Linked DNA regions of Ovis aries. The protein of the gene in region 2 purifies or fractionates together with the protein of the main gene of each other region. This does not show direct contact. Links are inferred from orthologs where the notes say so. Each region holds a gene or a part of one and is shown on either strand. Other genes may lie near its edges.

Region 1 (3,746 bases), on a different chromosome or scaffold from region 2:
GCAAGGCACCCGTGAGGAGCCCTAAGGCATTAAGCAGGGGGTCAAACACCCAAGAAGTCATCTAGTTTTAACTCAGTTCCCTATTTACACCAGCTCCACTACATCACATTCAGGTAAAAAACCATGGCTTCAGCTGCACTGAGAGCAAAAAGGCCACAATGATCACATCACCTTTCCTCCTCTACTGCTGCTGAATCCTTCTCAATACACCCGAAACAACTCTACAGTGTCCCCCAAATATGCCCTTCTTCTCATATGACCATCACCCTCTTAGATGCCCAGGTCACAAACCTAAGAGTGGTAAAGTTCTTCCCATTGCTGGCCTGTTATTTCTACCTCCTAAAGACAGATCAAGTAGGACTTCCCTGGTGGTCCCGTGGCTGACTCCAGGATTCCACTGCAGGGGGCACAGGTTTCCATCCCTGCTTGGGGAACTAAGATCCTGCAAGTTCTGAAGTGCAGCCAAAAGACAGATCAATCTATTTTTTTTCTCCATTCCCACCATCAGGCTATATTTAACCTCTCATTATTCAAATCTCTGCAAGAGTTCCTGGTGACTGTAAGGGTCAATTTTATATGTCAACTTAGGAAACTACAGCTCCTAATTATTCAATCAAACAAACACTAAGGTATGTGTTTTTGAGACAGGATCAAAAATCTATAATCAGTTGACTTTAAAGTGATTATCCAAGATGATCTGAGTAAACTTCATTAAATCAATCAGTGGGCCTCATTCAATCAGGTTGAAAAGGCTTCATACTGGACCTAAGACTTCCCTGAAGAAATTCCAAAAGCTTATGATGGAGAGTTCCAGCCACAGACCTAGGCAATCCCCACAACTATGTGAGCCATTTCTTGCTCTGTCTCCTATTGGTCTGTTTTTCTCACTGAACCCTATTTCAGTAATTGAGATAATTCTCTTCCAGTAACCTGTTTAGTGACCACCCAAGCACAAGATCTATCACTCCTGGGGTGGGGTGTTCCCCCAGCTCCACACAGTCCCTTGGACTTTAGCCAATTCAACTAGCTTCTGCTGGGCTCCTCACTCCTCTTTCCTGGACTTATCTCAAGGCCACCTACTTTGGCCCCTCAATCTATTTCTACAAATTGGGAATCCCCAATCTTCCCTCATTGCTGCTTCTGGAATGACAGCAGGGCTCCATTCTGTCCCTCACCAACATCCAGTCTGTCCACCATTTTGAGGTGTAAGATAAGGTTGTCTTGTTTGGTTGCAGTTTATGGACAGGACAATTGAGGACGGGATTTAATTTTTTGTAATTTTTTTTTTCCTTGATTGAGAGTAGAGAGTGTGGCACAATCTCACCCTCCATTTATTCCATCTGCTTTCTTTTGGAGATTGAGTTTACTCTAGAGAGGGGGTGTAACCCTCTTTATACTCTTCAGTCAAAGCAAGTATCTGGCAAGTAGGAACTCTAAATTTATTAGAGGAAATATAGACTAATCTGAACAGAAGTGTTCATCAATCTGTTAATAAAAGTTCTTCTCTGTAAGTTAAATCGACCTTCCTGAGCTGTTTTCCTGGAATAATACTGAACTGGAATCATACTACATAAACTTAGCTGAACATAAATCATACTGTAATCCCACCGTGTTCACCAGCAGACAAGTGGACAGACAAGATGTAGCAAAGCCTTCCAATGAAACGTTATTCAGTCAGTCATAAAAAACAATCACGTTTTTTCATATCCTTAATCATCAATAAACCTTGATTATAAGTGAAACAGGCCAGACACAAGACGACAAATACCATATGGGAGCATTTATATGAAGTACTTAAAAGAGACAGATTCACATACATAATGGCGACCAGGGGAAATGAAGAATTCCCATTATTACCTACTGGGTACAGACCTGTTGTAGGGAATTTAAAAGTTTTGAAAATAGATAGTAGTAATGGTTGCACCGAAATGTACCCTGAAACAATTAAAATGACAAATGTCACATATTTTACATTAGGCATATTTTAAATAATTATACACCTTTTACTGCTACTATAAAGCCACTGTAACGTCAAACCAAGGAACTGCATACGGCTTGCTGTACGTAACGGCCCTAGTAAGACGTGGGTAGTGAAGGTACACAAACATTCAGGGGGAGACCCTCAGTAAACACATCAAAAGCTTCTCCATTAAGCACATCAAAATCCACCCGGTTTCGTTGTTTTGAAGCGCGTTTTAGCACACGCGCGCTCTATGAGGACGACGAGTATCACCCAACAGCACCACTCCCCTCCCCAAATTATTCTAGCGCCACCCTCTACCAAGAGCCCCTTGGGAGCCGCTGCGGTACTGGACGCTCGACGTGTCACTTCCGTACCCAGCAGCCACAACAGTGACAGCAGTCCTGGGTCAATTCTTTACAACCCAGAAGTTTCAACGTGAGCGGTCGAAGTGCCACAAGACGAGTTAACACCATTTCCTCACCGAACCTCGACCTCCCGCGAGCTGCCTCCAGAGGCCCCGATCCGAGGAGAGCCCGAAGGCGGCAGGCGGGCCCCCGGCCCCCTGACTCACCAAGTATAGATCTGCAGCTCGCTGGACGGCACGTTTCCGCGGGAGAACTCGTCCATGCGGTGGTGGCGGCCGTTGTTGGTGGTGAAGACGCGCAGGAGCAGCGGGCAGGTCTGGGGGCGGGACAGCGGGGAGTCAGGAGGCTGCACGCGCGGTCCCGACCCTTCCCTCCGGCCCCGCACCGCCGCCCCACCTCCCCAGGGACCCCTGCATCTCTCCGGACCCTCACCTTCTCCCGATCGATGGGCTTCTCCGGCTCCTTCTTAATTTCCTCCTGGGTAACGCGCGACTCCACCGCCATCTTCCTTCTCCGGCCCGCAAGACGCTCGCTCTGACCTCCGACCCCGGCAGAGAGCATGAGAACCAAGCCTCTCGCGAGGATACGCTCGAGGTTTTATATATGACCGGCTCGAGGGCGGGGTGTCTCCCGGCGCAGGCGCACTAGCTATGCTAAGCTCTAGCCCGTTAGGCGCGCCTGCGTGTTGCCTCCTGGGAAGGGGCGGGCACTGGCGTCGTGGGCGGGGCGCTGAAGGAGGGGCTCCGCCGCAGGGGGACGGCCTGAGGGACGCGGACGCGGGACTGCGGAAGCTGAGAGTGAACGCGCGCTCGGAATTGTAGTGGGCGGCCCTCAGGGCGGAGGCCGGGGCGCTGTTGTGTGAACTACAGTCGCTAACCGGAAAAGGCGGGTAGACCTGATTAGATTAAAAAGAGGAAAAACAAAATTTAAGAGAGGAGCCGACTGGGAGGAGACGACTGAGAGGCGTGTGGTGGCCGGAAAGCTGGTATCCAGAGCGTCCATGGACTCCTGGAGAAAAGCACGGTGGGAAGTGGGGGAAAGAGTTGGAAAGGTGCTTTAAAACGAAGAAGTCCAGGAGTCCGGTCAACATCGAAGGCTCTGGAGCGCAGGGCTAACCCGGACCCGCTAAAACCACAGGGACTGGCTTTTCAGGAAGAAAAATTATGACCATCCTAGACAGCATATTTAAAAAACAGAGACATTCCTTTGCCAACAAAGGTCAGTTTAGTCAAAGCTATGGTCTTTCCAGTAGTCATGTATGGATGTGAGAGTTGGACTTTAAAGAAAGTTGAACCCTGAAGAATTTATGCTTTTGAACTGTGGTGTTGGAGAAGACTCTTGAGAGTCTCTTGGACTGCACGGAGCTCCAACCAGTCTGTCCTAAAGGAAATCAGTCCTGTATATTCATTAGAAGGACT
Region 2 (3,646 bases):
TCCAAGAAGTGTGGCTGGCACACCCAGTTTGGATACACACACAAAGTTCCAATCTCCATGTCTACCTTCTACCTTTTTGGGTCTGGCTTTTCTAGGGCACAATCAACTGGGTCTTGAAACTACCTCTTTCCATGATGCTTAGCCTCTGCCTTATTATCCTAAGCCGACAGGATACCGAGGCCTACTCTCTCCCACAGTCACATGACTCTGCCCTCTGTGCCCCCTAGCCTGATGCATCTCTGAGCAGGGCGGGAAGGCAGGCACTCACCTGGCTGTCAGTCAGTGGGAGCCAATAGATGCAGGGAGCTGCCTTGGTCTTGCGGAAAAGGTCATCCAGCAGCTTGGCAGGTGGTTCCTCCTGAGCTTTCTCTGAGGTGGAAGGAAGTGGTTCAGACTTGATGCACGTGAGCCTGTGGCCCATCCCATTTGGGTCCCTTCCCCACTTACAGGTGGGTACTGTGCCCCTGCAGCTAAGTACCTTTCTTCTCACTCTTCTTTTCTTTAGACTTTGCGCGTTCCTTCCGGCGGCGATCACGGGACCGGGATCGGGATCGGGGCCCTTCTCGAACTTTGTCCCGATCCCATTCGCGCTCGGATCGAGTCCGCTCCCGCCGCTCCATTTCCCGTTCCCGTTCTGCCCACTGCTCCCGGACCGCCCGCTCCTGCTCCCGCTGTTCTGCCCTGGGGTGCTGTGGTGGCTGGGTTGGGGGTGGGGGCGGGGGGTGTAGTGGCCGTGGCATCCCCTGCTCCTCTGTCTTAGTTTCAGAGGGACGGTCCACCAAGAGGCCTCGGTGATAGTCCAGCTGTGGGCAGAGGAGGCAAAAGGGTGGAGACAACATCACGCCACTGAAGGAGCCCAGGCGCTGGCGAACAGACTCACGGCTCAACTCAGGAAACCAAAGTGGAGGGAGGAGCACCCTCAGAGACCACCAGTTTGGCCAGGGTCTCAGCTGGAGTCTCGCAGATGAGGGCCTCCCCTGCCCCTCCCCTCTTTCCTCTCCCTTGGTTTCTTACCTCATCTTGCTCAGCATAGTCAGCACAAAGGAATTTGGGGTTGGACTGGGGCCATTTGACCCCATGTAGAGCTGTGCGGGTGGCAACTGCTTCCTCTACTGTCGAGTACTGACGGAGGAAGGGAGAGGCAGAAGGTCACAACAGGCCTTCCCTCCCTCCCACTTGCCGTAAGGCCTCAAACCTGCCCACGTTGGTCACAAAAGGAGATATAGGGCACAACCTAGAGAACCAGCTTCTTCCCCTCACCGTTACAAAGCAGTGAGATTTGATCTTGTCAATCCAAAAAGCCTCTTCTACCAGAGTTCCTGTACGTCCCAACAACTCCTTCAGTTGGCCTAAAGTGAAGGGACGAACCTGCCAATGGAAATGAAACTTCAGGGTCTCGAAGAAGGCAAGAAATATGCTCAGGTGAGGCTCTCTACAAACTCCAGACAATCCTGAAAGGTGATACTTTTTTCTCATTTTTCATGAGACAGGTTATGAGGTTAAGTAACTCACTCAGAGTCACCGAGTGAGTAACCAGCAGATGCAGGAGCTGAACCTAAGAAACACGGGTCCACAGCTCTGACTCTACATCAAGCTGCACCGCTGGAAACGATGACTTACCAAATTGGAGATGTGGACGATGTTACTGATCTTGCCCCGGGGTGGGGAGGGCACCTGAGCAGTCCGGACTGGGTCATCAATCGTAATGGAAACTCCTGACTTCTGCTGGCTAATGGAACGTCGAGTTAAGGTATCTCCTAAAGTCACTATCAAATAGAGCACATGAATTGTTTTCAGCAGGGAGCAATGCTGGTTTTCGCCTTCAGCAGGACTTTTAAATTCCCTACCGGTAGTCACTCTTCTGTCTAAATGTGCTGAGTACCTGCACTGTGCAAGGTACAGTCCAGGCTGATCTCCTCATTATGGGGATGCAAAGATTAAACAGATTCGAACCTAGCCCTCAAGTAGCTTGTGTAACAAGACAGATGTGTAAAATACTACAACACAAGGCAGAAGACATTCGATGCTGTAAGAGGTCCACATCAGGTGCTCTGGGATCTCAAAGAGCCACACGTTTCACTCAGTGCTGCACCCACCTTTCTTGACTTCATGTTCCACAGGGGGCGGCAAGGCCACCTCTACTGAGACCTGGGGAGGTACAGGGGCTTCGGCTTCAGGCTCCTTCTCTTCTTCCTCCTCTTCCCTCTGCCCATTCTCCTGGCCCTCAGCAGGTACCACCTGTAAGGTATCAGATTAACAGAGGGATTCTTCAACACCAAACCGGCATATTCTTTCCTGCCTCTGGTTTCTTGGGGAGAGATGGTGGTAGTCAGCCTCAAGTGTTCTTTCCAGTGGGGGGAAGATTTCATTATTAGGGTCACCTCCGCCAGGTCCTGGGACTGGTAAGACCTTAACTCACCCATGAGGAAAACTAAGGCATGAATTGGCAAATTTTTTTCTGTATAGAGCAAGAGAGTAAACATGATAGAATTTGTGAGCCATACAGTTCCAACTAGTCAATTCTGGATATTATAGCACGGACGCAGCCATAGAGAAAAATATATAAACTGGTGTTAACTGTGTTCTAACAGAACTTCATTACAGGCAACAGGTTAGATTTTGTATTCTGCGGACCCCTACAAAGGTCAATTAAGCCAACCCTCTGCACAGATTTCCCTTCTAGAGCTCCACCTTAGCTCCCTACTTAGCAACTTACTCTGCATTCAGACCCCCCTCCCCCAAAGTGGGGCACAGGAGCCTTACCTGAGTGACAGTCCGGCATATTTTCAGCCCCTTGTCATGGGTCCCATCATCACCATTACGCTCTGTCTCATCCTCAGAGATTCGGGAGTCGTCAGCATGAAGATCCACAACAGCCTCCTGCCCCGCCAGGGGTTTGATGTCGGGGATGAGGCTCTGGGACACAGATACCCCCCACCCCGTTACACTGGGCCCATGTCTACTCCCACCGCATGTCTCATCCTCCCTTCCCCGGCCCCTCCCACCTCACCTTGAGTGATTCGGTGGTGATACTGATGGAGGGTTTCTTCTGGGTGGCGGCTGTGCTGGCTCCCCAACGCCGCTTCCGACTAGGCTGGCCCCCCTCTGTGTCACTGTTTCCAGCCGGCACCCCCTTGGTAGCTGCTGTCCCCAAGAAACAGGACCCCACAGTTAGATGGTCCCAGGCTCTCTGCTGGTTCACACCACAACACCCACAGATAGCCTTCAACTGGAATTTTAGTGAAAGATTAACTTAAGGATATCACTTTGGGGGACTGGGGAAATCGTGTTTCAGAGTAAATGGAAAGCCTGGAGCCACTTCCTGAAAGATTAAAACTACTGATCTCTGAAGGCAAAAAGGGAGAAGTAACTAGGCTGGTGAGCATTTAAACTTTTACTGGTAGAAAAACCTAAAGCACTGGGGAAGACATACTGAGGATGACATGGGAATGAGAAGACTGTATGATAATAAAATTCAAGTTAGTTTTAGATCATGACATGACCTGGTTATGCTTTAGATAGTATTAACACTAATAGATTGATATTTAAGTCATAAAGATCTATTAAATACTACACTTTTGTCAACTTAAAAAGAGTTCTTCATTGAAAAATGCTCAAGTTGTTGCTGTTTGAGGTGTGGGAACTC

What was found. Proteins that work in one complex are often made in the same cells at the same time.
Region 1: the proteins of ACIN1 (region 2) and SAP18 fractionate together in Homo sapiens (co-fractionation; 7 studies listed by BioGRID and IntAct, with this or other methods). This does not show direct contact. The link is inferred for Ovis aries from reciprocal best matches to the Homo sapiens genes ACIN1 and SAP18.

Annotation. Positions count from the first base shown.
Region 1 is NC_056063.1:35,853,362-35,857,107, forward strand, and holds the start of SAP18 (histone deacetylase complex subunit SAP18), read right to left. Parts: upstream 2,902-3,746; 5' UTR 2,890-2,901; coding exon 2,761-2,889; intron 2,645-2,760; coding exon 2,535-2,644; intron 1-2,534. UniProt on the Homo sapiens protein: Component of the SIN3-repressing complex. Enhances the ability of SIN3-HDAC1-mediated transcriptional repression. When tethered to the promoter, it can direct the formation of a repressive complex to core histone proteins.
Region 2 is NC_056060.1:21,612,338-21,615,983, reverse strand, and holds part of ACIN1 (apoptotic chromatin condensation inducer in the nucleus), read right to left. Parts: intron 3,145-3,646; coding exon 3,011-3,144; intron 2,917-3,010; coding exon 2,764-2,916; intron 2,239-2,763; coding exon 2,097-2,238; intron 1,767-2,096; coding exon 1,621-1,766; intron 1,369-1,620; coding exon 1,261-1,368; intron 1,123-1,260; coding exon 1,015-1,122; intron 804-1,014; coding exon 479-803; intron 370-478; coding exon 269-369; intron 1-268.